4 linked regions of the Arabidopsis thaliana genome follow. The protein of the gene in region 3 interacts with the protein of the main gene of each other region in a pairwise test. Each region holds a gene or a part of one and is shown on either strand. Other genes may lie near its edges. The genes, in order: KNAT5, HSFA1E, BLH7 and KNAT2.

Region 1 (7,180 bases), on a different chromosome or scaffold from region 3:
CAAATCTGCAATCCATCCAGCCACAGACCCGATCTTGCATTTTCGCATCGACATTAAAATGGCAATAAAATAAATCATTTTTTTTTTCTTTTCGAAAAGAACAAAGAAAAATGAGAAAAGGAAGAAAAAAGAGATAGAGGAATAATTTAGAGGGAGCCTCGTATATAACACCATTCCCATCTCTCTCTCTCTCTTTCTCCTCTATTTCGATATTTCTTCTTCTTCTCCTTCTCTCTCCCTTCGTCATTATCTCTCTTCTGTAACTTCTCTTTCTTTCCCTCTCTCTCTTTCGCTGCTTCTCTTCTGTATCTGATTCCCTTTTTTACGGGAGCTGTAGATTTGAGTAGTGTAAGCGTCGATGAAGAAGGTTACATCGTCTAAGATTCCGGCCAAGGATGATTGGGTGGCTGTAGCGATAACTGACGACGATTTGGTCGTTGAGCTTCTTTTACGGCTGAAGCATGCCGGAACGGTAGTGTCGGATAATCCGGCGGTGATTCTCCCTCCGTTGCGGTGGGGAATCCGTCAACGACGGTCTCGTTCCTCAAGATTTGGTGGCGGCGGCGGCGTTCTCGTTTCCTTGAAGAAAGATGTCGATTCCGTTAGAGCCAGTCCGAAGACTCCTCTCTCGTGGAGCGGCGGATCTGGAAGTGGTGGCGGCTCTGCTTCTCCTTCCGCCGATGGATTCGAGGATAACAGTCGCCAAGCTAGCTGCTCTACATCTACAGGATCTGGATCTAAGGTAACTTTCTCTTTTCCCTATCGTGATTTTCAACTTTTGCCTCTCGATTTAGTCTTCTCTCTCTATCTTCTTTCTCTCAATTACGAATCCGGTAGCTCCGGAGAGATGGCAAATCCGTCATCTCGCTGGATAATCCGATTCCGATCTGGCCGATAAATCTGGATTTAGCCGTTCGTAATTGAGAAGATCCTTGGCCGTCTCTCTGTTTTTCTTCATTTTTTTTCCTAAAATCCATAAAGTTTAGCCTGACGTCATCTCTCGCACGCTTCAATTCTCACTAGAACGTATTTAGTCTGTTTTCTTCAACTTCTAACAAATTCACCGGAAAAAATTCCTCCGCCGTGATTCGCCGATGACACCGTCGGCCGGAGCCATCCTGCTTCTAGGTTAAATTCATCTAATCTCCAAAAAGTCAAAGCCACTTTAAGCTTAATTTCCTTGTTTTCTGCTCATTTTTTGTAATTAGAAAACTCTACTAATCTTCTGTAACAAAGCTTAATAAGAGACCTGTTTTTCTCGGTACGCATTGAACCGGATCTTGCGTGGCCGGTTAGATGTGGATTTTTAGAAATCGGTCAACTTTAATTTTGTCTTGAGGAATAATTAAAGCTCCTTTTAGATTTTGGGGGTAGTACAGCTTAACAGCTAGTTGGTCAAACGCGTCCGCGTTTTATTGAACGTTTTGATGCTCGAGACGGTAGCGTTTTGTGGGTTGAAAGTTGAAACGAGTAAAATGATCTTGTCGGAGAGATTGGTATCACGTGATCTTTAAAAGAGTGATGACGATAGATGACAATGCCCATGACACGGAATAATCATGATGTGGCATCAAATCCTCACTATAAAAATTCTTTCCCAATTATATATTTGAGATTTTTTAATTTTATGCTCTATTTGGTTTCTTCGATATATTTTTCTTACTTGTTTGAAATTTCTGTTGTGGGAAAAGAAACTTTTTACCGGTATGTTAAAATAAGATCTTGGGTATTGATTATAAAAGTAAAACAGTTGTCGTTATCTTCAGCCATTTAATAGTTGACTAATCAAATGCGTTTTTGTTTTGCAGGTTTTTCCCACAAACGAAATCACCAGTTGTTTCTCCAAGAGATTGAAGAAGAGGAAGGTAAATATAAAGTCTCCTTTTTGAATTTCAAGTACACACTCCAAAATTCAAATTTTATTGAGCTGATGGTTTTTTATTCTTTTAATATTTGGCAGTCATCTTTTGAGCTTAAAAATGAAGAGAACTTGAAGTTGAAGGAGAGACTTGACCTTGAAAAGGTAGATTTTCGTTGCTATTCTCTGTTTTATTATCATGGTTTTCATTGTATTCTTAAAAAAACCCAATATTTTTCCACAGGAGATTGCAAGTCTCCGAGCAACATTCGATGAACAAAACCTTAGGAACCAAAAGCTGAAGAGGATTAAGGTAACATTTAGATTCTCCCTAACCATCTTTACAGTAATCAGATATTCCAGATCCCTTCTCTCTATTTGCTGGTCTCATCGACTCTTGTGTTTTCTTGTTTCAGCTTGACTTAAACTCAGGCCGTGTCACAAACAAGAAACCTGTTGATTTGATTCGTAAATCACAACTCGAGCGGCTACAGGGATCAAAATCTTGCAAAACCAGTGACTCGCAAAATCAGGGGAGTTTCTTCGTCCTCCCTGATCTCAACATGGCGCCATCCGAGGAAGAGATATTGTACGGAACTAGCTAAAAACTGGCCTATATGAAGATTTGCGATCGAATTATAGTGAAGGGAAGAAGGGAGCTAGAGATGTCAACTAAGAAAAGTGAATGTAATAAGTGGTGTAATGAAACTCTCCCGTCACATTCTGGTTTTCCGTTTCCTTCTTTTTTTGGGGTAAAATGCTCAATTACTTCTTGATTTTTTCTTAGGAAGAGGGTGAAAATTAGGTTTTTACTTTTTACTCCCTCCCTCCCTCCCTCTCTGTTTTCTTTAATTTGATGTGTTAGAAGAAAAAATTTGTTTTAAATAGATGGTGTTATCAATTTTTAATGCAAAATTAACTACTTTTTTTTTTCTTTCTTTCTCTTTGTACCGATTTAAAAGCTTTTGTTGGAAATTGTAAAGAGGAAAAAGTAGGACAACTAATAGACTTTTTATGTTCCAAACATTTTCTTCTTCACTATTCTCCATACATTATTATATTAAAACCCTAGTTTCCGCTCAACTAATCCAAGACAAGAAGATCTATCAATCTCTTTGGACATTCATTTTTCTACTATTTAATTTGAATTTTTATAATATAAACTTGGGAGGTGTAATGCTATTGGTGGGTTGTCGGCGTGTTCATGGAAAAAGATTCGTTTTTAAATGCCCAATAAATTTGAGAAAAAATTGCCAACTTGTTTATGAGCTTATTTTCTTTTTCATGGATCCCAAGTCTTTTGTGTATAGAGATTAAAAAAAAATGACATTCCTTCATGTAAAAAAGAAAAAAATATCTGGGTTTTAAAAATATCTACAATGAGTTTAATGGTAAATATACTTATCATAATTTGGAGAATAAAGACCTAAAGAAGAAAATTACACTCTAGAACAGAAGTTTTGTAAGCAAATCATTGCTCACAAAACTTGTGAATTACAGAATTACAGGCTCTTGTAGGTTGAGTTATTTTATGCTTCATTTTGGTTACAGGCTTTATGTTGACATTAAAACAAAGAGATTGAAGTAGAGTCCAAAAAAAAAAAAAATATATATAAATATAAAATTCAAGATTAATTAAAAAATATTGGTCTTCAGAGAGATAAATAACTAGGGGAAAGAGAAAACAGTCTTCTCTTCTCCGATCCCAAAAACGCAGGAAAACAATGTCGTTTAACAGCTCCCACCTCCTTCCTCCACAAGAAGACCTTCCTCTCCGACACTTCACCGATCAATCACAGCAACCTCCGCCGCAGCGTCACTTCTCTGAAACACCTTCGCTTGTCACCGCCAGTTTCCTCAACCTCCCTACCACCCTTACCACTGCGGATTCCGATCTCGCTCCTCCGCACCGCAACGGAGACAATTCCGTTGCTGATACAAACCCACGCTGGCTCTCCTTTCATTCGGAGATGCAAAATACTGGAGAAGTACGTTCTGAAGTTATCGACGGAGTCAACGCCGATGGTGAAACGATACTCGGCGTTGTAGGAGGTGAAGATTGGCGGAGTGCTAGCTATAAGGCGGCGATTTTAAGACATCCGATGTACGAGCAGCTTCTTGCGGCTCACGTGGCTTGCCTTAGGGTTGCGACTCCCGTTGACCAGATTCCGAGGATCGATGCTCAGCTCAGTCAGTTGCATACCGTCGCCGCGAAATACTCCACTCTTGGTGTGGTTGTTGACAACAAGGAACTTGATCATTTCATGGTAAGTTTCACTTTCTAATTTTGCAAAATTTTAATGTTTTGAACTGTGAACGATTCAGCCATTTATTTCTCTTTGATTATCTGAGTATAGCAAATTCACATTTTTGTGTGGCTCATTGTTCCCGCTTCTCGAGTCTTGCAATCGATATGATCTTTGCTTCTACTTTTTTGGTTAGCTTGTAATTCGAATTATGAACTTTGTCTGACTCAAATAAGTTATATTTGTTGCATAAAGCTTCTTCTTTGATGACTAATAGTTTGTCTGATTCTTGCTGAAAAGGACTTTGCATGTCCAAGAGAAAGAAAGCATAATCTATTTTTTGTAACGTTCTGTTTGTATGTCTTATGGATTGGAATCTTACCTTTGATTATTATGTTGATGCAGTCACATTATGTTGTCTTGTTATGTTCATTTAAAGAACAACTCCAACACCACGTTTGTGTCCATGCAATGGAAGCCATTACGGCTTGTTGGGAGATTGAACAATCACTGCAATCCCTAACTGGTAACGTCCCAAATCATTTTTTTTTTTTGTTATTGTCTTCTTGCTTTATGTGTGTCTTGGTTTTATCGGTTTTTCTTTGTTCTGGTTTGTAGGAGTTTCTCCAAGTGAAAGTAATGGTAAGACAATGTCGGATGATGAAGATGATAATCAAGTAGAGAGCGAGGTGAACATGTTTGATGGAAGTTTGGACGGTTCAGATTGCTTGATGGGGTTTGGTCCTCTTGTTCCAACCGAGAGAGAGAGATCTTTGATGGAACGTGTGAAGAAAGAACTGAAGCATGAGCTTAAACAGGTAATTGCTTGATCAAGCTGCAATGGTACATCAAACTATACAAAACACATTGTTAAATCATGTTGCTCGGTTTCTTTTTTCCCCTGTAGGGTTTCAAAGAGAAGATTGTGGACATAAGAGAAGAGATAATGAGGAAGAGAAGGGCGGGAAAGTTGCCAGGAGATACGACTTCTGTACTCAAAGAATGGTGGCGAACTCACTCGAAATGGCCATACCCAACTGTAAACACCTTGGCCGAGAAGTTTTGTTACCACATTGTCAAAAGCAAGGTTTTAATTCGTGATTTGGTTTTGGAATTGCAGGAGGAAGATAAGGCAAAACTGGTTCAAGAAACCGGTTTGCAGTTGAAACAGATCAACAATTGGTTCATCAACCAGAGGAAAAGAAACTGGAACAGCAACTCTTCCACGTCATCTACTCTCACCAAGAACAAACGTAAACGGTAAAACAAGATCCGTTCTCTTTTTCAAATTGCGCAATTTCATTAAACCAACCCGGTCAAGATCTTCTTTTGTAACCAAACTCAGGACCGGGAAGTCGTAGGTGACATAGCGGCTAACTAGAGGATGGTTCTTTGCCATGTGAATTCTTGGGAACCGTATATGAAAGAAACGAATCCGGTTCTATGCTCGTACAGAGTGTGTTATTTGTATAGTGGATACCGGTTAGCCTATGAAACCGGATTCTGGAGTCCAAATTGTTGTTTGTAACGACTTAGTAGTTTTTGGAAGTGATCTGTTTCGTTGGTTTGCGTCTTGTAACGAACGCTTAAGCAAGTGTGGGTTTTTTCTTGTAAAGTGTCAATATGTTCGTTTGTAATGAATGTATCAAGCAATATTTATCATAATTAAACTAGCTTGAAATGTAGTATTACGATGTTGTTGTGTTCGTCTGATTTCTCTCACCGGTTGATGCATGGTTACGTTCGGCTCGGTTTTTATATGGTTCAATTTTTAATATATCGATAATTTTAAATGATTTCACTTGTATTATTAACAAAGCCCATTGGTATTTGGCCCAAAATCTGAATGCCGACTTAATGACTTGTTTCTTCTTCCTTCAGCTTCTCCAACGAACGGCTTTTGTTTTAGTTTTTTTTGCTTACCTTTCTCTCGACTTGGTCTACTTTTGTTACTCTTTGAGTTGGGTGATTATGGCAGCAGCACCACAGGAGGAACGATCTCCGTCGCTTGACGATTGCCTTAAGCTATTGAAAGGGGAGAGAGACGAGCAGAGGCTCGCCGGTCTACTTCTCGTCACCAAATTCTGTAAGAACGATGACATCGTTTCTCTCAACAAGGTCTACGAAGCCGTTGGTACTCACTTTCTCGACCGTCTTTTCCGTACTGGTAATCAAAACCCCGAATTATTGATCTTTGTCTCAGTAAATACTAATATCAATTTTGGGGTTTCTACAAAGTGTGAATTTTTTAGTTGAGATACTAAAGTTTGTTGCTCTGACTGGTTTCGATTTTTTGTTTTGCAGGTAGTGGCAGTGGCGATGGGGTTGATAATCGTGATGTGTATCTGCAGATATCTATCACTGTTCTTGCTGCATTCTGCCGTGTTCCGGAGATAGCTTCTTCAGAAGAGATGGTCTCCAGAATTCCCCTTATTCTCGAAGTAATGTCCAAAGGGTATGTTAGATCACCTGATTCTTGCATTTGCGACTTTCCATGAAGTTTTTTTTTTAATCAAGCTTTGCTTCTGTGTCTTCAACTTTTTGCATATTGTGATTGCCTAAAGTTAGGAAATTGGCTTTTGGAATTTCAGAATAACTACAAACATGCTCGAAGATTGCTATGAGCTTCTGTATTTGGTGTCCACGGCTTGTGAAGCTGGTCTCATGACTTTGATTAACTCTGGAGGCTTGAGAGTGATAGCTCCCCAGATGTCTGAGTTACCTGATGGTAATACATACTCTTTCATTGGGTTTACATTCTTTTGTTGTGTATATGATGCACATTAGATTCCATTGAATGCTATTTCGGATTGATTATATTTGGTGTCAAAGAAAACGTGCCATGTTGAGGTAGATGGATTTGATAATAGTTTTTCACTGGGAGCTAATGTGAGACATGTTATTCAGGTTCACATGCCATGGAGGTTGCTATAAAGATTCTGCAGTTATTGGTTAGTAAGCTTGATTGTGGGAGCATGACTATTGAACGCTTCTTAGAACTGTCTTTGGTGGTGAGTCTACTTACTTGGTTACTTTTTGTTTTCTTTTCGCAATACTTACTAAAGCTGCAATGCTG
Region 2 (7,531 bases), on a different chromosome or scaffold from region 3:
CCTTCACCTCAAACCTCTCTTGGTAACTCTCCACCACTTTCCACCACGCCGATACCTTCGGGTCAAGACCTTCCTTGGCGTCGAAGTTAAGCGATTCTATGAAATCGTGAACCCTCTCCTTTTGAGTAGGCGTGAATTGGCCGTACCATAGTAAAGAGAGATCTAGGGTTCCGTTTGGGATTTGTGAAGGTGGCTCACGTGAAAGGCAGAGAGGCGCCAAGAGGAGGAAAATGATGACGGATATGGAGGAGGAGGAGGAAGAAGCAGACGCCATTGCCATTGCCACCGCGTGAAAAAAACTTTTTTCTGTTCTTTTGGCCTTTGATGGGGATTTTCTCAGGCTTTTTTGAGGGAAGTAAATAAAATTATCGTTTAACCTATTTTTTGACATCCTAAGCTGGTGATTTTGTTTTTGGATAATTGCCAATGAAGCAAAAGAGCTATTTTCAACCAAGCTAACTATTTTAAGAAGGGTGGTGAAAAACTCATAAGAACTTCCTTACACCTTATAAACACGTAATGATCAGCGTATAAAACCCAAAAAACAGTACATTAACGGTGACTATTTACCTTTTCATTACAGAGTTCACAATGAGAAATCAAATGAATGGGAAATATAGTTTTAAGTTAAATGAATTCGTACGCTGATGATGACCCTAGCTTCGGTTTGGTTTGCGAGGGTTAGACACAATCCGTGTCTTTGCAAAACAGCCATTTCAAACCTTTCTCATCCTTGTTAGCCAGCTTAGATGCCACTGACTTGATACCACTCTTCATATAATTCACAACAAACATCGCCACCTCTCTGCAAATTACAGTAAATTGTTGTAAACCATTATAGAGTACAAGAGAATCAAAGACTTGTTTTGTCTGTGAGTAAATCTCCTTACAAGGGTGAGCAAGGAGTTCGAGAACCGTTGATGAAGTAGACAAACAAGAACGCATCAAAATGATGTCGATTGATTAGATAAAATCCATGTAATCTCCGCACGCATCTGAACATCAATCTTTTGTACAAACAGATCGCAGCATTGTTGTGTGCAATCACATGAAGGTAAACTCCGCGACACACAGATAAACCGGAAGCATATTTAATTACCTCACTAATAAGTGACATTGCTGAGAGTTAAAAAAAGTTGCAGAAACATCAGAAATTATAAAACCAAGCAATATATAGAACATGTTTCAGATACTTATTAGTATTATAAGAGTCATGTACCGATTCCACGGTTTCTGTATGTTTCTACAACTCCGAGTGTCAAGATGTATATCAAAGTCTCCTCTCCTTTCGAGGAATCGTAATGTATAAGATCATCTATCTGTGCAAGACACAGAAACCATCTGCCAGCTGATGAAGATAGATAATAAGAAGATAAAAACAACACTAGACTCAATTGCATTACCAGAGCTCCCAAAACAGATTATTCAATCATAATTCAGACATTATTACAAGCCGCTGTTCTAAAGATTTTTGACAAGTGAAATAACTTTTATTTAGTGTACATGATCACAGACGAACCAAAAACCATAAGCATTATGAACTAGTTCAACATTCAAGGTGATTACAGGACCTGAAAGATCATTATTGTTCGAATTACAAAAAGACGAATTCATAGAATGAAAACTAACCTCGCTATCTTTGGCAAGCACAAATTTGGCAGTAACAAAACCAATAAGTTCATCAGAGTGATCATCAGGCCGGCTCCGATCAACAGCAGCCCATGAGACGATATCAACTCCGTTCACAACACTCTGGAAAAACTCAGACTCATACCTGACAAAACAAAAATCAATACTTTAGAAATCTTTTCACAAGACACCAACATAGGAAAATCCAAGTAGATGGATGCATACTTGATGGGGAAGATATCGCGATGGATTTGCTCCAAACGATCTAGATCATTAGGGTTTATAGGTCTATAGTGAATACTTGGGCAAAGAGAGATTCCTGCATCTTCCATTGATGAATCATCTATGAATCTTCGAGGAAATCGCGACATTGTTTGGTATCCGAAGAACCAGAAAAGCCACTTCCCATTGTGAAGTGCCAGATCACTGGATCCGACCCGTTGAAGTAAATGGATCCGGATAGATTTAACGAATCTGGATCTGAGTGGGTTTGTTTGGATTTGATTGGTTAATCTTCGGCGAAGGAATCAATCAAGAACCGAGTTTCGAGCATGGGAAAGAAAAAGGTGCTTGCTTGCTTTGCCCTCTCCTCTGTCTCTTGGGGCTTTTTCTCGTTCCAAGTGAAGCATCTTGGCTCGTGTGCTTTGCGACAACCAATCACGTGCCTCTTTTAGAAGGAGAGTACTAATGTACTATTTATGAATGGAATATTCGATTCTCTTAAATGAAAAATTGTTCCATTTTCAATAATATAACCATTTTTAACAATAAAAATTCGTACTGTTTTTTCTATCTGAAAAAAATGGATTTGAAAAAATTCGTACTTTCGATTCATAATCTGCTTTTTATTATTATTCGTTATAAGTCTGTACTATGGTAAGAGAACCTTAAAATATTCCCCTCCACAACAAAAAATAAAAATCAAACTGGAGAAGAGTTAGGCAGTAAAGGAGAATTTCCTTGCCCTATTAACTCGATTAGGCGGGCCAATACACTTGTTATGTGTTTTCCACTTTTCTTCGTTACAAATTTAGATTAGTCTTACATGATGAGCCGTTAGATATCATAGAAAGAAATAATCTTATAAAATTTGATAAGATTTCTATAATCCACAAATCTGGATCGATGTTTATTTCAGATTTATAAATATTGTCTTAAAAAAAAAATTATTGGCCGTCTCGGCGGCAAGCAGAGAGAGAGAGACTCAACGTTTTCGTAACAACAAAACTTTGAGTAGCAGAAAATTATCCAAAAAAAAACGTGAAACGCAAATGGAAAAAATTGAGAAAAGTAACGCGAGTCCAGTGCCACGTATGAAAAAAAGAGCTTAGGACCAGATACGTTAATCAGAAAAAGACCAGGTACGTACGTTAATTAATGTTTTTTTAAAAAGGCCAAGCACGTTAGTCCAGCCCACGTGGTATTTCTTATCTTAACAACAAAACTAATTTTTTAATTTAATAATCGGACGTTGCAGAGGTAATCAGATCAACGGTAGAGATTACGACACGTTATATCACTCTGCGAAACTCCACCGCTTTCTGGAATTAAAAAAATCAGAGTGTATAAATAAAAGAGCAGAGGTAAAAGCTATCTCCAGAGTTTAATATAAGTGTAGACAGAGAGAGAGAGAGCTTCTTTCTTCTTCTCTTCGTCGCTAAGAGATGATCTTCGAATATAAATCTCTGTAAGGTTTGCGAAGACCGGAGTAGTGAATCTCGGAATTGTTGAAGAAGACGGTACACCGGAATCAATTGCGATTTTGATTTATGGGAACGGTTTGCGAATCTGTAGCGACGGCGAAATCTTCGACGGCGGTGATGAGCTCCATTCCGCCTTTTCTGAGCAAAACGTACGATATGGTTGACGATCCATTGACGGACGACGTGGTGTCTTGGAGCAGCGGAAACAACAGCTTCGTGGTTTGGAACGTGCCTGAGTTCGCCAAACAGTTTCTACCAAAGTATTTCAAGCACAACAATTTCTCCAGCTTCGTCAGACAGCTCAATACTTATGTGAGTGAACTTCGATCGATTCTTTTTTATTTGTTTTTCTCTTCATTGATTCGATTTTCTTCAATTTCGTAGTTCGATTTTAGGGAATCTTACTTTATGTGCTTCATTTTTATTTTACTCTCTTGTTTTTTTTGTGGTTGAATTAAGCATTAGTTATTGATAAAACTCACGAATGATTTAAGGTTGCAAGAAGGTGCTTTGAGAAGTCGACTCCTATTTAGTGTATAGTATGATGCTACTGATTGATGTTCCTATATAGTTGTTGACGCTGGTGGTTGAACTATGCACGTCTAGTAGGTTGTGTTAATGTTGATTTTAGTTGCACTAACTGTTAAGATTGGATCTTTTTGGGTTCTGACAAACTCGTGCAAGATAATTTCACATATTTGTATTGTTCTTCAGTTGTTTTTTGTACATGTATACCCTGTGAACTGCAGGCATATATGTTTTTGTTTTTCTAAGTATCTGAGCTTGCATCCGTGTCTGTGAGGCTGGAATGAATTTTCTTAGGTCAAGCAAAACTAACAAGTGTATACTCTTGCGTAGCTTGTTCCTCCCCTGTTCTTATTTACTTACCAAAAGGTTCCACGAACTTTGCAGGCTTATTTGGACATGTGCTCATATGTGTCTGACGATTGGTTGATTCAGCACTTCCATTTCTGGCCTCTTAAGTCACAAAACAAAATTTCTATCAGTTGTCCCATGTTAGCTTTCCATTCGTTTGTATTTGTCCGTCCAGGTACATGCCGATACACTAACAACTGTATTAGTTTCCTTGGACCATGGTAGTTTGGTGCTGCAGCTAGACCCAGTGAACGTATCATACCATATCTAGAATAGTTGTTATTAACGTATTTAATGGTCTTTATGTTTATACAAATCTTCTATGTTGGCTTCCTATTGCAACGGAATCCAAGTAACTTCTTGCGGTTGATGACTGTTCCATTCTCCATGCTTCTTTTTTTCAGGGTTTTAGAAAAGTTGATCCAGACCGCTGGGAGTTTGCAAACGAGGGCTTTTTAAGAGGCCAAAAGCAAATACTAAAGAGTATTGTCCGGCGAAAACCTGCACAAGTGCAGCCTCCACAACAACCTCAAGTTCAGCACTCATCTGTGGGTGCGTGCGTTGAAGTGGGCAAATTTGGACTCGAAGAGGAAGTGGAAAGACTTCAGCGCGATAAGAACGTCCTTATGCAGGAACTTGTAAGGTTGAGGCAGCAACAACAAGTTACCGAACATCATCTGCAGAATGTGGGGCAGAAAGTTCATGTGATGGAGCAGAGGCAGCAACAGATGATGTCCTTTCTAGCAAAGGCTGTCCAAAGTCCAGGTTTCTTAAACCAATTTTCTCAGCAGAGTAATGAAGCAAACCAACACATTTCTGAAAGCAACAAAAAGAGGAGGCTACCTGTTGAGGACCAGATGAATTCTGGCAGTCATGGGGTTAATGGTCTTAGCCGCCAGATTGTGAGATATCAGTCATCGATGAACGATGCAACAAACACTATGCTTCAACAGATACAGCAGATGAGTAATGCACCTAGCCATGAATCTCTCTCAAGCAATAATGGTAGCTTTCTTTTGGGCGATGTTCCAAATTCTAACATTTCAGACAATGGGAGCTCCTCAAATGGATCACCTGAAGTTACATTGGCAGATGTTTCATCCATTCCTGCAGGCTTCTATCCTGCAATGAAGTACCACGAGCCTTGTGAAACAAATCAAGTCATGGAGACCAATTTGCCTTTTTCTCAAGGTGATCTCTTACCTCCAACGCAAGGAGCAGCAGCTTCTGGGAGCTCAAGTTCGGATCTTGTTGGATGCGAGACAGATAATGGAGAGTGTTTGGATCCAATAATGGCTGTTTTGGATGGCGCACTCGAACTAGAAGCTGATACCTTAAATGAGTTGCTTCCTGAAGTCCAAGATTCTTTTTGGGAACAGTTCATTGGTGAGAGCCCAGTGATTGGTGAGACAGATGAGTTAATCTCAGGATCAGTGGAAAATGAACTGATATTGGAGCAACTAGAGTTACAATCAACCCTGAGTAATGTGTGGAGCAAGAATCAACAAATGAACCATCTTACTGAACAGATGGGACTTCTCACATCAGATGCTCTCAGAAAATGAGATTGCCACAGGCCACAATCTTTCCTCACGAGGTAATCAGTCTATCTATATTGATATGTTATAAACCACACACTTTCCAAAATTTAAATTTTGTGCAAAACCAAACCCCTCGTCTTTGTCTTGTTATCGCAGATGGGTTAAGATTTTGTGGAGCCGCAACAACAAAAAGAATATGACCAAAGGAGGTACTATGTATGTATGTATCAAACTGTTGTAACTCTAATTCTTGTCAATGTATAATAAAATAAGAGAAATATTGCCTTAAAAGATTTTTGCATTGCAATATCTTTGTTTGTTACTGACAGAATGAAAAGGAGATGCTTCAAAGTGAGAGATATTCTTCTGTTCTTGTGTATGTCTTTAGAGATCCTTGTTTATTTTTGTTACATTAAGTGCAAAAATTGGCATTTTGGTTAACCTGTGGCCAAATCTTACCTGCTTTAGTGTTTTTTTATCAGTCCTTCACTTTTAGTTTCTTGAGTAAAACTAATGTTCCAATTTCGTCTAAAGGAAATCATCTAAAGAGAGAGTAAAAAGGAAGAACGTGTGTCGTGTGGATATAGTAACAAAGTGGTTTAAAAGGATCAAGTCATTGATTACACGGAATCAAAGTGTATGTACATGCATATGTTAAGCTCTGAAACTGCAACCGAACCAGATCCATTTGTCGTTTGTATCAATCTTAAACTTGCTTTTAACATTACATACAACATTACATATGATATTACCATTAGTTGTAATTTATATAGCTTATATGATATATATCTATTTCTGAAAACTATATAAATATTTTACATATGATAAATTTCACAGATATCTCATGGATATATTGCTTTAAAAGAGGATATGAACATTAATAAACATGTAATTTGTTAAAAGAATTGATAAAGACCATATATTAAGGATAAAATAGTTACTCTGAAAGAAAATTTGAACATTCATGCATGCAATATATAACGTATGTCGAACACTCGATTCATATATAGCTAACAAATGTCGAAAATATTATCTTCTTTAAAATACGAATCAAAGCTATAACATTTTTCTATTGTCAAGAAATCTTTTGGCATCCATTTCTACAAACCAGTTCCGGTGAATTAACGCTTAGCACGACTGTTTTCCCTCCACCGAACAACCTTTGACCGTTCCAATAATTGGTTCAATTAATAATTTAATTTAAAAAATTTCGTATTCCATCCACAATCATTTATTTGATTTAAATAAAATAAAATTTTTATTCTCTTGCTCATTAATAAGAAAATCAAAATCTTTACTCGTTTGAAATTTGTAATCCATTACCTGTCATCGTTGACTTGTCAAGAAGAAACAAATCAACTCTAAAAAGAAAAATGTTGTTCATCGAAATCGAAGCTTGACAGTATTCAAAATCAGATTCGAGATGAGCTGCGACGGAGGCAAACCGGCGCCGGCGAAACTAGGCGACGAACAACTAGCGGAGCTCCGGGAGATATTCCGATCATTTGACCAGAACAAGGATGGAAGTTTGACGGAGCTCGAGTTAGGCTCACTTCTAAGATCTCTCGGTCTAAAGCCGAGTCAAGACCAACTCGACACATTGATCCAGAAAGCAGATCGGAATAACAACGGACTGGTCGAGTTCTCCGAGTTCGTCGCCCTCGTCGAGCCAGATCTGGTCAAGTGTCCTTACACGGATGATCAGCTTAAAGCCATCTTTAGAATGTTTGACCGCGATGGAAACGGTTACATAACGGCGGCGGAGTTAGCCCATTCGATGGC
Region 3 (7,262 bases):
CATCTTCGATCAATGCAAATCTTCTGGTAATTTTTTATATTATTGTTTATGTTTCGTCGATTCGCTTTGTGGTTTTTGTTCTAAGAGTGAGTATGTCTAACTTTATGCAGTTACTGTTCTCAAGTTTGGTCATATGAGTTCTGATATACTTGCATATGGAGCATCAGATGGAAGCTTAACAGTTTGTAGTCTCTTAGAAGAGCCTTCTGTCCTCAAGCAGTTGACAGGTCACTCTAAAGATGTCACAGGTTCGATTGACTGGTACTGTTACTTTTGTCTTTTCTGTATCTCAGTATCTGCTACACTGAATTGCTCTTGAATAATCTGAGAATATGATGATACATGGTACCTACTTTCTATGCTTTGTTAGGGGTAAGATTTGAGTGGAAAATGTAAAAGAATTATCTGTAATGGATAGAGCATAAGTGTGTATGTATGTCATTGGGTTTAGATCCTATGTCTAATATTAATACAAACTTCTTATCAGATTTTGACTTCTCGTCAAACAATCAATACATCGCGTCATCATCACTTGATAAGACAATACGAGTATGGGAGTTGTCAAGAGGCGTTTGTATTAGAGTTATATATGGAATCTCTCCACAGTATTGTATCCGTTTCCACCCTGTAAGTTTGATGTTCTTCATCATCTTTTTTTTTTTTTTTTTTGTCAAAGATGTTCTTCATCATCTATATATTTCTCCCTTGTAACAACTTGCAACTTTTTGTTTTGATTGTGAAAGTCGTCTCATATAAGATACTGAGTGCGGATGGTTTTTGTTGTTTTCTCTTGCTTCTCCATTGAAGATATTTCATTTCCATATTTTCAACAGGTTAATAACAATTTCCTCTCTGCTGGCAATGCAAACAAGGAACTCACGGTAACTTCACTACTCCTTGTAGCTAAGTACATTAGTGTATTGCTTTTTTCGTTTGTTTTCTAATTGTTTACTTATTTTATGCCTAACATCTCTCTGCTTGACAAAGTAGGTGTTCAATTTCAGCACTGGGAGAATTATTAAAAAACTGTTGTTTGAGGATGAGGTGACATCTATGGACCATGATCACACTGGCCAAATAATTTTCTGTGGAGATGGGCAGGTAACTTTTCTATACTGATGTAAAAAGATAAAAACTAGGGAGATGGTCTGTTATGGTTATGGTTGGCTATACCGATTACCTATGTTGTGGTCAAGACTGATCAATTTTTGCATTTGTTCGGTATGCTAGAAAAAGGCATTTCTACATTGTTTTTACAAGGTAGTTAATAATAATTGCAGGGAACTGTATATTCAGTAAGCATGGATTCGCATACAGGGTCATTATCCCGGTCTCATCGTCATCGTACAAATCACAAATCTCCTGTCACCACTGTGAAGTACAGAAGCTTCTCCCTCCTGGCATCAGGCCCTGTTCTGCTCACATGTACTCAGGACGGAAACTTGAGTTTCTTTAGGTTTGGCGACAGAACTACTTCTTTTTTTTCTTTCTTGTTTTTCCTTAAGAGATCCTTTTTTTTTTTTTTTTTTTTGTCAAGGTCCTTAGAGATCCTTATAATTGATTTTTCTGCTTTGTGTTGGTGATGCAGTGTTGCCCTTCAGATAAAAGGTTATTTGACTTTGCGTTGCTCCCTCAAATTAGCCCCGCGAATACACAGAATCCAAGCATCGTTTTGCCCGCTATTATCACTAGAGAAAGGAGAATACATAGGTTTGAATTTCAATCCTTCATTTACCTATAGTTTTGGTAATAGTAGATTCATAGGTCTCTTGAGAAGTGCAAGTCATTTTCTCCGCGTTTCTTCTTGTTTGAAACTACAGTTGCTGGAAGCGAAGACTCGAATGTCTACTTCTATGATCTAACCAAACCGAAGCACACATGTGTAAACAAGCTACAGGTTAGACAATAACTTCTTTTCTTTTTTTTTATCTGAAACTTTTGTGTATGGATTTTGAATTATAGGAAACAGGATTCACGAGTTGTGAGAAATGGATGCTTGCAGGGTCACAGGTTTCCAGTAATGTGTGTTGCGTGGAACCATGGGGAGAACTTGTTGGCTTCGTCTGATTTCTATGGTGTTGTCATTGTATGGAAAAGAGCAAAGACAAGCTCATAAGGTTTGTCTATAATATTATAAATGAATCTAAATCCGTCATTTTTGCCACAAAGGCTTTGGGTTTGGCATCATCTCTGTATCGCTAATCTCAAAACTGTGTCAATTTAGTTTCCCATCTCTTATAAAGATATAGTTCTGTGACACTCCTATGCACAGATTCAATAGCTTAAATGGTTGGAACAGACACGTCCTTAATGAGTTAATAACTCTTTCCATAGATAAGTTGGTAGACAATTTGAAGAGATCAAGTTAATTGTACTCGCAATGTTTTTTGTTTTGTCACATTATCATGAACCAGATTAATTATCAGTAAAATTAATGAAGATTACATAAACAACATTCCATTGTAGTCTAGTTGGTCAAGATACTCAGCTCTCACCCAAGAGACCCAGGTTCAACAAGTTCCGGCAAGCTGGTTCATCTAATTCTTCAGGGGACCAAATGGAATATGATACTTGGTTCTCTTAGAGAAATGTGGCTCTAGGATTATATTGAATTCAAATTATGTAACTGATGAGCATTTGGTGCTTATATTAGTGTGGAAGTGGTTGGACTAGATAATCATGCTAATAATTAAACGTATTTCAACCAGCAAAAAGAATCCGAGTGTTTTGTGTATTAATTCTTTTACTAAAAGCAATAGAATCTCAACTTCAACGTAAGTAGGGCACTAATAAAAACTTAACATTTACAATTCTCTTATTTCCCAAGCAAATATCTTCGGCGTCATGTTCATATTGGATTAATAATAATAAGAAGAAGGGTTGGTTGGTCGTCGTATATTATGAAGACACTCTTCCCTATCCACTGACTCTATCTGTCCATTGTCCAGGTCTCTCTCTCTCTTTCTCCTTCTGCCATCTCTGTCCCAATTCAGACTTCTTTCTCTTCGCTACCCATCATTTCACGTTCTTCACTTATCCACCCCAATTTACTATTTTTATTTTCTTTTCAAGTTTTTATTCTCATATTTTGAAGTGTAAATTTAAATAAAATGCTTACCTATGTTTTCCCACAAAATTAACTCTTGTGTATTTCGTAATTTTTTTTTTCATAGAAAATAACTAAATCACTTAATTCACAAAAAGTCTATTTTGGTCTCTCCATGCAAAAACTATAACCTTTCAGTGTGTTGGTAAGAAAAGGTGGTACCACCATTTTCTATCACACTAAGATATCTCACCACACATTTTAATTTGACTTACCTCTTACCACCATTTCGTACCACCTTATACTACAAATCAGACTTATTATAAAATGTCTTGGAGTTGGGATTTTCTCAATTTGTTTCTGATTCGTAATCGTAAAGTCCTCCATGACAAGATATGGACCTACACTTAGTGAAAAGAAAGTAAAAGTTAGAAAATTTGTAGAAATACCTAAAATCTGTGGGCACAAAAAGACAAAGCTAAGTGGGGAAAAAGGCCACTTATTCATTATTTATGAGAAAGAGATAAGAATATGAAGTGTTTTTTTTTTGTTTATTCCTTGCAAAAATAGTTGTATGCAAATGCAACTATATAGTAAATAGCATGTGGACCATCACAGATATTATTCGAAAGAACAAAAAAAAATCAAATGTTGAAACTTGAAAGTGAAATTTAAAGACAAAGAAGAAGAAACTGTAAAAAGCTTACCAAAAAAGTGAAATTATTTTATTGAAAAGAAGTTGAAAAAAAACATCCGTGTGTAAACTTTGACACGTCGTTACCCAAATTATTCCCCACTCTAATAAAGATGGACTAGTCTACACAAAAATTAATATTATCTTTGATTACAAATCGGACATGAAATATTTAAAAAATTGCATAGCACCAAAATTAGATATGAAAAACGTTCATTATATATTTGTCTTATTCTCCAAATATGCTTGATAAACACATTATTATAGAAGAATTACGAAAATATCTTTTACTATTGACACCAATCAGGAATATATCAAATATTTTTAGATAAGAATATAAAAAACACAGAAAATGATTGTATGGTGGTTATAGCTTCATTCAATTTTATTGCAGCAAACAAACAGAAAGGCCAGAGAGACGAAAGAGAGAGGCATTAGGGTTTAGGATTAGGTTTTAGAAAAGGGTTTAGATCTCTACCAACTGGTTTGTTAAGAACATAATCTCCTTACCACATTTTTACTCTTGAAAACATTTTGATCTGTTTTTGTTATCTTCACCAAAAGACTTGACTCCAAGAAACAAGAAGAAGAATCAAGAAGCAAGTTCAAGAACCAGCTTTTAATGAAATCTCTACTTCAAAAAGGAAACTTGCTTTAAGGAGGATGGATCTTTTGTTTTCTTGAATCTTTTGTGTGGGTAAAACATTTTGTATTATCAAGATTTTGATTTGAGGAGATAAAGAGTTTGTTGTTAAGTTTGTGTTCTTGGGATCATCAAGAGTTAAAACAAAAAAAAAAAAACATTTCTTTTTTCCTTCTTCAATTTGAGATTTAGTGTCTCCTTTAACACCCACAAAGCCAGCAGATGCTTTCCTGGTAATTCTTTAATCTATCCTTTCTTCTTCTTTTTAAATTCTTAAATTCATGCAGAGAGATAATTCTCATAATTTTCATTGGTTCAATTTCTTAAAATTTGCTTAATTAAGATTTTATTACATAATGTGAAGTATAAAAAGGGTTTAGTGTTGTTTGTGTTTGATTCTGAAACAGATGACTCCTTGTTTGATCTGATCATAAGAAGAAGAAGACTATGGCCACTTATTACAAAACTGGCTCAAGTGAGATTTATTCCAGACCAGAATTTGTCCCTGGAAACGCAATGAACTACACAAATTCTTTCACAGAGACATTTCCTAGAGATTCAACTAATAATGTGTCACCTTCAAAAGAGATTCAAGTGTTGTCAAGCCTTGGTGGAGTTTCACAAATGGTTGAGATTCAAGATTCTGGTTCTTGGAGAGATCAAGAAGACAATGACAGGAATCGCTTCCCGGTGATGAGGCGTCTTGGCCTCAGCTCGCAGATTGAGACATCGAGAGGCAATAATAACAATGAGTATGCAACACAGGTTGTTTCGGGATTTACTCGAACCATTCACAACTCAAAGTATCTCAAAGCTGCTCAAGAGCTTCTTGATGAAACTGTTAATGTTAAGAAAGCTCTAAAGCAGTTTCAGCCAGAGGGAGATAAGATTAATGAAGTGAAAGAGAAGAATCTTCAGACGAATACTGCTGAAATCCCTCAAGCAGAGAGGCAAGAATTGCAGAGCAAGTTGTCGAAACTTTTATCGATATTAGACGAGGTAATCCGCCTTACAACATATCTTCTACACTTGTTAATGATTCTCGTGGTAACATAAATGTTGTTTGTTTCTTTGTTGTTTGAAGGTGGATAGAAATTACAAGCAGTATTACCATCAGATGCAGATAGTCGTGTCGTCTTTCGATGTAATAGCCGGATGTGGAGCAGCCAAACCATACACAGCCCTTGCGCTTCAGACCATCTCGAGGCATTTCCGTTGCTTAAGGGATGCGATATCCGGACAAATCTTGGTGATAAGGAAAAGTTTAGGAGGGGAACAGGATGGATCAGATGGGAGAGGAGTGGGGATAAGCAGGTTAAGGAATGTTGATCAACAGGTAAGGCAACAAAGAGCGTTGCAGCGGTTAGGTGTGATGCAACCTCACACTTGGCGGCCTCAACGCGGTTTACCAGATTCTTCTGTTTTGGTTCTCCGTGCTTGGCTATTTGAGCATTTCCTCCACCCGTAAGTCTCTCTACTACTCTTGTGAATTTTTTGATTGACCACAAGAGACTCTGACCATTTGTTTCAAAACCTTGAGCTTAGTTATCCAAAGGATTCAGACAAGATCATGCTCGCTAGACAAACGGGGTTGAGCCGAGGCCAGGTATTGCACTGTTAGCTTTTGTGCCGTTTCTCTCATTTAATACTTTTCTTTCTGGTGTGTTCATTTTTCATTGTTTCGTTTGATGATTGTTGAAAGGTATCGAACTGGTTCATAAATGCGCGTGTGCGTCTCTGGAAACCGATGGTGGAGGAGATGTACAAGGAGGAATTCACAGATGCATTGCAGGAGAATGATCCCAACCAGTCTTCTGAAAACACACCAGAAATCACCGAGATTCAAGAGCTGCAAACTGAGTCTAGTTCCAACAATGGGCATGTACCTGGTGTGGCAAGCAGTAGCATGAGACAAAACACAGTGGCCCATGGTGGTGACCGGTTCATGATGGTGACTGACATGACAAGAAATGGTAATGGTGGGATGTCTTTAACGTTGGGGATTCAGAATTCCGATGCTCGTGGCGATGTTCCTATGTCCGGTGGGATAGATAACTACAAGAATACCATCTCGGGAACCGATCTACAGTACTTAAACTCTCGCAACCACCAGCACCAGATTGGCTCTTCACAATTGTTGCATGATTTTGTAGCTTGAGGAGAATAGAAAGGTGTAGAAATGGATTCTTTTGTGAAAGTAAACCCAAAAAACGAAATTGTAGATTAATGAGAAAACATGAGGAGACAATCTGAGATTAGACACGATCTGTTTCATATTTAAACATGAGGAGACCTAATTATATGGTTAGAGGTACATGAGATCAAATGTTTTGACATTAAAATTACACTTAAAATGCTAACAATCATTCAGAAAATTCAAAAGGATCTACCCGAAGTTATCTTATTGACAGGTTTCTAAAACCTAAGCATGTCCAAAAAGCGGAAGCACAAGTTTCTGTCTGCGTTTACCTGAAAAAAGAAGCATTAAGGAAGTTCAATAACAGAGAAATGTGAGTTGAAGAGTTATGTGTGGATCTGATCTAAACTGATTTTACCTTTTGTAGAGAACTCTTATGTCTTCTCTTAAGGCAGGACTTTCGAGGAACGTATCACCAGCTTCATCCACATCGATCGTCTCTACCTCAAAGTTTTGATATCCGCAGTACTCGTTCCACTCGAACCACATCTTTGAGATGACTTCCTTTTTGAAACAAGTGTTGTGATCCTCTTCCTCAGGTGATGACCCAGCAATCAATCTATATGCATGCACCATCTTCTTTTGTCCGGGTCGAAACGCTCGCCCAATAGCTTGGCGGGTCACAGAAGGGTTTAGGGGAACATCCAATATTAGTATGCGAGATGCTCCAACAAGCGAGATA
Region 4 (10,199 bases), on a different chromosome or scaffold from region 3:
GTTATGGATACCCGTTCAAATCATTTTGACTAAATTATACCACCATTCTAGATTTACGTATACGTGTGATCATGCCAATTCTATTTTATTGTTGACTAAAATAAGGTGTGATTGTGTGAAAAAAGCTCTTTTTAAACGTGGTGGTTGTGATTTGTGAGCTCACCAATGAAAAAAGTCAGCTAGTAATTGCACTTTTAGAATAATAATAGTTAGGTTTACGTCGTCAAATGCGCCATACGCATAACCATTAACCAAAAGGTTTAGGCTTATGATTATAGAAATAATTGTTATAGGTGTATAAAAATAGAGTCAAAATCGAAGATAAGCAAAATGGTGCCACGTTAATCAACAAAGATCGTAATCTTTTAACCTGAGCTAATTAAGTAGAACTAACTTTCCATTAATGTATCTTTTGAGTTTTTGATCTCACCCGCACAGTTGGAGCCCAATTCCCTTGCCCTTATCGTTGACTCTACTAAATTTTCAATTTGAAGTTTCTGCATTTATTCTGTACGTGTAAGTATCAATTAATTCTGATGTAAACGAACATTTGATAGTGTGAGTGCCAAAATTATTGGTGTATATTTTTGAAATGTAACGCTTTTTATTATATTGTTGTTATAACTTATATAACAATACATAAGCAAAATTAGCACCAAAAATAAAAAAACAGAGCAAGAAAGTTACACTACAAATTAATAAACGAGACGAACTTTATTTTATCGATTTCTACAATGTTCTAATTTTACTATACTGTAGTAGGAATAGAAGGAAGATGGTAGAACAGTTTCTCTTCTAAGCAAACTTCCACGAAATTAAAGAAAGACAAATTTTATATTTGAAGGACCACAGACAAAACGCAAAGGACCACTTCATAAGAAACATTTGAAAATAGAAACAAAAACACATTGCATCAGGATGCTTAGCATTGTTTTCGTTTTAATGCATGTCCACGACATCCCCTGATCATGGGAATAAAATCAATGAGCTAAACAGTAATTTATAATAAGCTGGTTTTTTTTTGTCGTCAACAGCAATTTTTTAACGTGAGAAAAAGAGATTAGAATCTTTAACAAAAAAAAGTATTAGATTTAGTAGATGCTCATGTTTCCTGTCCCAGTAAACTATTCTTCTCCACTGTTTCCAAGCTCCATTTCAAAAGATTTATTCCTCAGTATAAAAGTTAAAATAATCCATATTTTACTTTTTTTGGTCTATAAAGTCCCCGGCCAAAGTTTTGGTGCAACCATTGCTGAAGAGACAAAAGATCAAGTGGTTCTGTGATCAGTTGTTTGCATAACAAAAAAAAAAAACTATTGGTGGCTATTTAATTTGTCCACTTTTCTTACAGGTACGTTGATATGTTTTGGTTAAGTTATAATTATATGTTAGTTAATTAAAAATGAGTCTCTCAGTGTTTAGTATAGTAATCTCAAATTTCAGTTCGTTACAAGCGTTATGTAGAGATGACTAAAAACAATATTTGTTAAAACATAACATATTAAGACAAGCATATAAAATTTTATAAACCATATTAAGATTATTTTGATAACATGTAATTGTATAGCATAAAACTACTTAGAAAGAAAGAGAAACAACCAAAGGAGAGTATTAAGACCTGGGATTCCCAAAATAAATAAATAAAATCCATAAGAAGCTAAGTAATCTCCAATTTCAGTAACATTTCTAACAACAGAAACAAATTTGTTCAAAACCACATATTGATGATATGAGATACAAAAAAGAATGACAATAAACTCCTACAAAGTTGAAGCAACCGAGTGGTACAATAATATATTAACAAAAACCTCAATACAAAGAATTGAAACCTAACAACACTAAATCACGGGAACAGTATGAACAATCCATGATGAAACATTCGAGTGGTACAATATTATCTTAGCAACATAATTATATGCACTTGATCTAATAATTTAGTCGTCACTTTTTGTTATTATTATTTTTTCTGCAAGACACACATTTTTTTTTTGCAATCATTTCTCGACGATAGTGATCATATAGATTATAGAAACTTGTGACCCCCCCCAAAAAATACAGAAAAGTTTAGAAACAATATAAATATGTGCTGTGAAGGCCACCGGTGGGGATTCAATACGATACGATCCAACGAAGTGAAATGAGAGAGAAGGAAAGTTCTGTCGTTTTTATAAGGTTTGATACTAAAACAAAGCTTTATGTCAGTTAAATTTCACACCAAAGTAGTCCGACGGATGTGTCAATCAAACCTGTCCATCATCAAAAAGACCTTTATGACATTTGTTTTTATTTTTTTTTGCGGAAAAAACGATATGGATCATCGGATCGGGTCTGGAGTAGACCCATGCAAAAATATAGTTTTTTTTCTTACAACAGGGTTTATAGATGGATTTTGGTTTATGACAAAAACTGCAGGTTCTGTTACTATATAAGGTAATGAAACATTTTGAGTTGATATTATACGCGACTAACAGATTCTCTATGAAAATAACAAGAAGTGCGATAAGTGGAGTGGCCACTATAAAAAATAGTTCCTAAGAGTGTGTTTAATTAGCAAATGACTGAAAGCAATTAAAAAACAAAAATTGTTTACTATGTTGTGATTGATAATGAGCACCTAGCTACCATAGACGTGTTTTACAGAGAAACAAAACTAGGTGAAAATTGAAAGAGTGAAATTGAAGTTGAACCGATCCGGTTAGACAACTAGAATCGTAGTAGCCTAGTAGGTGTCGGCCACCGTAATTGAAACAAAAAGCTTATTAATTAACAAAATTACCATCATTTGTTTTTACTGTCAAAATTCAAATTACCATCGTCTAACCTGTTTTTGTTAACAAGTACTAATTGTTGTCTTCATTAGCTAAGTCATAAATTCTAAAGGTTAGCGTGCTATTTTGATCATTTGTGCGATAATATTATATATCAAAAATAATCGTAACCATGTAATCGTACAGTTAAAAAAAGTGCTCTTGAATCACGAAGAAATCTTTTTATAATCACTCGAATCGTATTCCTTAACACATATGGCAAACCCTTGAAATCTTTCTTCTTTTATACTAGTACGACAAAATAAAATAAAAATTATGGTGTCTTTAAGAAAAACTTGTAAATTATCATAATAAACTATGAAAATTCATATTCGTGATTTTTTTTTTTTTTTGCTTTTCGTCACAAATCATTTTTTTTTTTTTTTGGTTTTTTGCTGAAATATTTACGATCATTGCCCTCAGACTACTATACTACGAGACCGCCTCAACTTGGCCAGTCTATCTATTTCCATTGTCTCTATCTCTCTCTCTCTTTGAAGCAGTTTGTTACTTCTTACTTTTGTGTTTCTTCATATTCTTCAGAAGCAAGCACAAGGCTAGGGATCGAAGAAGCGGCGATCACTGATCGTATCTCACTACGATCACATTAATGGATAGAATGTGTGGTTTCCGCTCGACGGAAGACTATTCGGAGAAAGCGACGTTGATGATGCCGTCCGATTATCAGTCTTTGATTTGTTCAACCACCGGAGACAATCAAAGACTGTTTGGATCCGACGAACTCGCTACCGCTTTGTCCTCGGAGTTGCTTCCGCGTATTCGAAAAGCTGAGGATAATTTCTCTCTTAGTGTCATCAAATCCAAAATCGCTTCTCATCCTTTGTATCCTCGCTTACTCCAAACCTACATCGATTGCCAAAAGGTGATCTCGCTGCTTTCGTGTTTTGTCTTTTCTTTTTCTTGTTGTGTATGATTTTGTGCTTTCAAGGTTAATTTGATTAAGCGTCAGGAATTTTACATGTATTCATCGTCGTATTTAAAGATAGTTCTCTTACTTTTTTTTTTCTATTCCACTTTAACCCTAAGATAAGATTGGAGAACTAGAGAGACTGTGTTTATATGTGAGAGTGATTTTTTTTTTTTTTTGGTTATTGATTGACAGGTGGGAGCGCCTATGGAAATAGCGTGTATATTGGAAGAGATTCAGCGAGAGAACCATGTGTACAAGAGAGATGTTGCTCCATTATCTTGCTTTGGAGCTGATCCTGAGCTTGATGAATTCATGGTTTCTCACTTTGTTCGTTGCCTTGAACTTTGATCTTCTAGTTTTTCTTAAAATATAATTTTGTTTTTTTGTGGTGTGATTCTAGGAAACCTACTGTGATATATTGGTTAAATACAAAACCGATCTTGCGAGGCCGTTCGACGAGGCTACAACTTTCATAAACAAGATTGAAATGCAGCTTCAGAACTTGTGCACTGGTCCAGCGTCTGCTACAGCTCTTTCAGGTCAGCACTAAAGTGATATCTATCTCTTGTTCGAGTGTACTTTTGATTTCTTGTTTCCTAGCTAGTGTTTTTATTGATCTTTGAGCACTATCCTCGGTTTGTGTGTCCTTTAAAATCCTTGCGCAAATTTCTCCTTACAGTTACAGATCTTGCGGATTAGAAAATCTATCCTCAGATAACTTTTCCTTTCTGTGCTTCAATGATCAGTTTCTTGGAATTGATGGAAAAATTGGAAATCTTCTACTGTTTTTTTTTTCCTTAAAGAAAACGAGAATCGATAAGTTGTTGTAGCTGAAACTAGGAGGAGCTTAGTAGATCCGGTTTAGACAACCCAAGGCAATAAAAGTCAGAAAAAAACAAGGAAACTCTAAAACCCTAGTTTTGTTAGAAAACAATGATTGATTCAGCCACATCTTTTATATTTGGTAGAAGTCATTCATGCTTTAGATAGATCCATGACCTTCACACATCTTTGTGACATTTATTTTCTATCATTAGCTATGGTTTAAGCTGTGGGGCGGATATTAGGGGAAAGCCGGTGGGTAGGATTTTCTCTGTTAGTGATATTTATTTTCCTAGTGATTTTGGTATGGTATACTTTTCTTTTGTTACTTTTATATATACTTGTATTATTATCTTCTCCTCTGTCAGAAGAAAATATGGGTCTATGAAAGCAAAAACTTTTGCGCTAGAGATTCTGATTTTGACGTTTCAGTGTCGTACTGGAAGTTTTTTAATTGCTTATTTCCAGTGAAAATTCAATCATAGAGAAAAAACCTAGTCATAACTTCCACTAATAAATGCCACTGATTTTTCTTGAGTTTGTCCTTGGCTTCATGTTTAGATCTCTAGTAGTATCGCTTGTTTTCATCTTCATTAAGAGACTGATGGGTAAAACAAAACTTTACTAGTTCTTGATTACTCCAACTTCTCTTGGTGAATGAACCAAAGTTTATACTACTTTTCCATAGAAAGTGTCAGACTTAAGTTTTATCCATGTCACTTTAGTTTTTACTATTAGAGAGATAAAAATTTATTGTGTATAATGAGTATAACATAAGATTGATTTGTTTTCTTAGTGTATGTGAAAATTAATGACACTAGCCCTTATTTTTGAATACATTGTATTTGCACCTAAGGGTCTTACATTTGAAGTCCACTGTGTTCAAATTACATGTACAAAATCATTGGTGTGATTAATTTTCACGAACCTATCTGACTTAGTAAACCAAAGAAGTGTCTTGATCAGGTCAAATAGTTGGATTTTGTGTTTCTTTAGCTCGAAAAAGCTAAACCAAATCTCTGTTGGATTTCAGTTAATCTGAGCTCATGCGCATGTAAGTCCATAAAAATGCTTGATGGCCAAGAGGCTTGTATATTCTGCATGTCGTGGTTAATGTGTCTGTTATTCTTGTATTCTTGTTGGAATTTTATGTGAATAAATAAATGATTGAAATGCATTAAGACACTTACACAATGTAAGTGAGGTTTACTAATTTGCCGAGGTATTAAACTAAACTTAATGGTACCTTCTTTTCCACCATTTGTTTTCTTAATTAAGCAGAATAGAACTTTGTAAGTATTTTACAAGCAGCCCAAATAAGGAATAGTAGGTTTCTTAAAAGAATGTAATTTTAGTTGTCTTTGTGTTGTTTTTGTAGCTTATATTGGTTAAACCTTTCCAACAGGGCAAAAATTAGTTTCTTGTTAATCTACACTAATCTACTTAGCCACGTTCATGTTGTCAGAATACGTGTGTATATTTTTTATAAGTAAAGTATTTCACTATCTTAGGGATTTTAAAGTAATCATTTTACTTCTTCATCTCCACCTGATAAGAACTAGCTGGAAAAAAATTGGAACTACAATATAGTGGAATTCAGCTTTAATAGTCTTCTTTTTCTTATATGTTGATATCAAATGCTGCTTCGGTTGTACTTTGTTAGCATTGTTTAATTCCGAAAAGTTGTTAATACTTATCAGCGTACTTAATTAATTGGAGTTTACATAGGGAATAATCTTGTCCAAAAGGTTGAAAAACAGATCACTTGCAGCTTGAATTTATCTTTATTGGACGAATGTTTAGTTTTTTAATGGTTTTGAAGTACCACTTACCTTTTTAGCGTAATCTCATGTATGATTTTGAAGGAATATATATTACCTTATGAACATCTTTTCCTTGGTCAATACCTTTTTCTGTTTCTTAAGTCCCGAGAAAGGACTTTCTTTTCAACTGAATATCTTAAACTAATAGTATAACTCATAATATGTAGTTTTCAGAGTCATGTGCTTTTGGTTTCTTTTCGTGCTAATATGCTTTAGGAATAAACCAAATCCTCTTTAGTCAACTGATGTTTGTCATAGCAATTGTGTTTACTTATTTTTTTCGTTCTCGCTTTAGTGTGCAATTGACCCTTTTCGTGATTAAGATGGTCAATCTTGGCCATGGTTTTTGTTCCATCCTCATATTTTCTTCTAATCATTTGGTGTTCGGATGGTGTATTGATACAATGAGATCCATGTGCGATTTTGTATCCATATGTGGAATTTAGGACTATTGTTTAAGATTATTCACTACAGTCTACAACTAGTATTTTTGTGTTGTAAAATGCATTCACCCTAGGTCCCTATGCATTCACCCTAGATATATCTTTGGCTGTGAATGATATTCTATTCATTCAATGTTCGTAGGAAACTCGAAAAGCATGTTCTTTTGAACAAAATACTCTGTCATGGCACATTAGTTACTTCACCAGTTCTAGACATGATAATACTGATAATCTGTTTGGTTATATCACCTTCGTTGATAGAATGGTCCTTTTGACACGCACAAAAAAACACACCCAAATGCTTGAATTAGAAATCTTTTAGCCCTTTTTAATTTCTAAATAGAAGAAGTTGGAGACAGAAGCATGAGGTGGTCAAGTGTCACATGGACTCCCGTGGATTACGTTGGTGGATCCCTTTATGACCCAATCGCAACACTCTCTTTTTAAGATTTGATTTGATTTTAAAGAAAAAGAAAGAGAAGAAAATAGGGGAGAGACATGGGTTTTGATTTATGTACAATGCAATCATCTTACGACTAATGTTTCTCCACATCTTTTTCTACTGTTGCTTAGTGGTTGTCATTTCCTCTCTGCGTTTGTTCCCTTAATGGGCCATGCAATTTCCACGTGTTTAACTTTTTTTGGGAGATGTACAAGTCTATCTACTTTTTTTTTATCAGTGCATGTTGTCTCTTTCGCATTGTCTTGATGTTATATAGGAACCAAATTCGGCTAATAGGTAAAGAACAAACCGAGTTACTATTGCACATACCATCCTCAACTAGCAAAGTTTTCATGGATAGGGTGTGAACTATATTTTGTGTGATTTGTCTAAGGATCAGCTCATTAGTGGTGTAGCAAACTACAACCTAAACTCTTTAGGGAGACTTTGAAACGATGTCTTTCTGTAATCACTAAGTTGAGAATACTAAGTGAAATTTCTATTAATGCAAATAATTTGACCATTAATCATGTTTAAACTCCCTTAATTAGGCTCCCTTTTAGTCGCAGTAACATAGGGGTCAGTATGGTATGGTCATAAATGGGGCATTATGAGAAAGTTCATAAATGTTGGGGAAGCGTTTTTTCCGGGGGTCACTCAAACAAGTGTCAGAAAGGTGATACGTGTCGTGACTCAGGTGGCTAGTGGTAAGTCCCAAAGGAGCACGTCAGTGGCAATGGAAGCTAAACTATTCAGTGACTGCGAAAGTTTTTGACTGATCATTTTTGTGCCCGGGTCTTGTAAAACCTCGATATTATCTCGCTATCCTTGTTTTTCCCCTTTTACCCCTTTCTTTCACCCTTTTTTTTTTTTTTTTTTCCTTTCTTTCACCCTTGTTCTCTTCTCTATGCTTTTTTGGCTCTTTTCTTCTTTTAGCTGCTTTAGCCACTTAGTCATTTAGCCGAGCCTACTAGTATCTTAGTGTTAGCTATGTTTGTTAGTGTTGGCATAGTGGTAGAATTTGCTTTCTACATTGTCAAATATGCTACCATAAATAGCACCACCATACATTCTCCTAGTACATTTTATCGGTATGGCACGTATTTGGCTAATACGTGGGAGCTAATCATTATTGAATCTTCTGTATGACATTATTCTCATGTATGAGCAGATGATGGTGCGGTTTCATCTGACGAGGAACTGAGAGAAGATGATGACATAGCAGCGGATGACAGCCAACAAAGAAGCAATGACCGCGATCTGAAGGACCAGCTACTACGCAAATTTGGTAGCCATATCAGTTCATTGAAACTCGAGTTCTCTAAAAAGAAGAAGAAAGGGAAGCTACCAAGAGAAGCAAGACAAGCGTTGCTCGATTGGTGGAATGTTCATAATAAATGGCCTTACCCTACTGTAAGTGTCTTTCTGATTCCACCGTAACCTAGCATACACTCATTAATTTATTTCTTCGACATATTAATATCCGCCTCTCGAATGTGTATAGGAAGGCGACAAAATATCTCTGGCTGAAGAAACAGGTTTGGATCAAAAACAAATCAACAATTGGTTTATAAACCAAAGGAAACGCCATTGGAAGCCTTCGGAGAACATGCCGTTTGATATGATGGACGATTCTAATGAAACATTCTTTACCGAGTAATGAAAAGAGAGACATGAAATTGTGCATTGTATAATTTTTACACTGTTTTTCCAAGAAAAGAAAACAGTAAAAAGCTTTTGGTAAATGGGGCATCATCGCGAATGAATGGAACCCGTTAGCCAAAACGGTCAAGGGCGTAACGAGACATTGTATTGGAAATAGTGGCAATATTATGTCACTAATCTTCCAATCATCCAAATTGATAGATTTCTTATTTGTATTGAACCTTACTTAGATAGCTGATGTGTCAACTAAATAATTTATTTTCATTATCCATTCGGGTAGAAGAATTCATTATCCATTCGAATTTTGTGACTATTTGGCTCGGTTTCGGAGCCGGATTTTTCGGATCGGTTTTTGGATTTCGGATTTTATGCCCAGCCCTACTTATACTACTTGTATCAATGTCTCTAATTGATCAATTGTTGCTTGCTATTCAAATATCTGTCTTGGCAGTTCTCAAGATCGTACAGTAAGGATGTGGGAAGTTACTGGGGGTGGTAAAGATAAATGTTTGAAGCTTGGGTGGGTTGAAGAAATTGCACCTAGGGCTGGAATTATTGAGTACTTCTTTTTTGTTACCAAGTATGATACATAAGATAACTTACCTATACTATCTAGCTTCTCTCAGTGGTTTATAACAAGATTTTAGTTTGTGCTCAACGATTTGTATTTTGTTTTTCTTATACACTTATTCAAGCCTCATCTACCACTTAAACTAATTTTTAAAAAGTATTAGTAAAATTAACATGGTTTTAACTAAAAATTATTAATTATTTATCTTAAGGTTTAAGTTTTGAATTGGTTTTAAATTTTTAGTGAAAATCATTATTATTTTTTAAAAATGAGTTGAAGTGTCAAATCTATATTACGTGAAAACATTACCGAACTTCGAACACTTCAAGACTTACAGACCAATTAAGGACGGGATGCCTAGGCGCGGTTAGTTCCCGACGTTTTTAAAATTTAACACTTAAACTAATTTTAAAAAAATAATAGTGAAATACATGGTTTTAGTTAAAAGTTAAGAATTATTTATCTTAAAGTTTAAGTTTTAAATTGTTTCTAAATTTTTAGTGAAAACTATTATTATTTAATTATAATTTTACTAAAAAATATTTTTTAGAGAAAAGAAAAAAAAATAATAATTGAAGAAAAATAATACCTTGTTGGATTTTGTAGCAAAGAAAGCCCAATGAAAAAAGCCCATTCGAAGACCACCGTGAACTCGTCTGAAAAGCCCTTAGTTGCTGCTGCGTCTTTGTTGCAAC

Evidence for each region.
Region 1: the proteins of BLH7 (region 3) and KNAT5 interact in a two-hybrid assay, tested with the Arabidopsis thaliana proteins (one large-scale study listed by BioGRID).
Region 2: the proteins of BLH7 (region 3) and HSFA1E interact in a two-hybrid assay, tested with the Arabidopsis thaliana proteins (one large-scale study listed by BioGRID).
Region 4: the proteins of BLH7 (region 3) and KNAT2 interact in a two-hybrid assay, tested with the Arabidopsis thaliana proteins (one large-scale study listed by BioGRID).

Annotation. Positions count from the first base shown.
Region 1 is NC_003075.7:15,490,545-15,497,724, forward strand, and holds KNAT5 (homeobox protein knotted-1-like 5), read left to right. Parts: upstream 1-3,444; 5' UTR 3,445-3,582; coding exon 3,583-4,125; intron 4,126-4,509; coding exon 4,510-4,630; intron 4,631-4,722; coding exon 4,723-4,922; intron 4,923-5,011; coding exon 5,012-5,143; intron 5,144-5,224; coding exon 5,225-5,364; coding exon of another isoform or gene 5,365-5,368; exon of another isoform or gene 5,369-5,449; coding exon 5,450-5,465; 3' UTR 5,466-5,837; downstream 5,838-7,180. Other genes in the region: AT4G32030 (uncharacterized protein), read left to right, coding at 359-742, 1,809-1,865, 1,961-2,023, 2,103-2,171, 2,275-2,463; AT4G32050 (neurochondrin family protein), read left to right, coding at 6,076-6,271, 6,409-6,559, 6,696-6,832, 7,012-7,115.
Region 2 is NC_003074.8:670,216-677,746, forward strand, and holds HSFA1E (heat shock transcription factor A1E), read left to right. Parts: upstream 1-3,212; 5' UTR 3,213-3,398; coding exon 3,399-3,644; intron 3,645-4,612; coding exon 4,613-5,773; 3' UTR 5,774-5,805; intron 5,806-5,905; 3' UTR 5,906-6,213; downstream 6,214-7,531. Other genes in the region: EXL6 (EXORDIUM like 6), read right to left, coding at 1-280; MCC1 (MEIOTIC CONTROL OF CROSSOVERS1), read right to left, coding at 682-805, 891-1,119, 1,220-1,319, 1,630-1,774, 1,855-2,000; AT3G03000 (EF hand calcium-binding protein family), read left to right, coding at 7,173-7,531. UniProt on the Arabidopsis thaliana protein: Transcriptional activator that specifically binds DNA sequence 5'-AGAAnnTTCT-3' known as heat shock promoter elements (HSE).
Region 3 is NC_003071.7:7,100,769-7,108,030, reverse strand, and holds BLH7 (BEL1-like homeodomain 7), read left to right. Parts: upstream 1-4,102; 5' UTR 4,103-4,616; intron 4,617-4,790; 5' UTR 4,791-4,830; coding exon 4,831-5,382; intron 5,383-5,467; coding exon 5,468-5,847; intron 5,848-5,928; coding exon 5,929-5,989; intron 5,990-6,085; coding exon 6,086-6,541; 3' UTR 6,542-6,762; downstream 6,763-7,262. Other genes in the region: AT2G16405 (Transducin/WD40 repeat-like superfamily protein), read left to right, coding at 1-26, 111-248, 488-627, 834-881, 991-1,101, 1,281-1,456, 1,589-1,710, 1,821-1,897 and 1 more; DRD1 (SNF2 domain-containing protein / helicase domain-containing protein), read right to left, coding at 6,849-6,852, 6,939-7,262.
Region 4 is NC_003070.9:26,573,218-26,583,416, forward strand, and holds KNAT2 (homeobox knotted-like protein), read left to right. Parts: upstream 1-3,268; 5' UTR 3,269-3,417; coding exon 3,418-3,690; intron 3,691-3,930; coding exon 3,931-4,065; intron 4,066-4,138; coding exon 4,139-4,277; intron 4,278-8,439; coding exon 8,440-8,681; intron 8,682-8,772; coding exon 8,773-8,928; 3' UTR 8,929-9,214; downstream 9,215-10,199. UniProt on the Arabidopsis thaliana protein: May play a role in meristem function, and may be involved in maintaining cells in an undifferentiated, meristematic state. Probably binds to the DNA sequence 5'-TGAC-3'.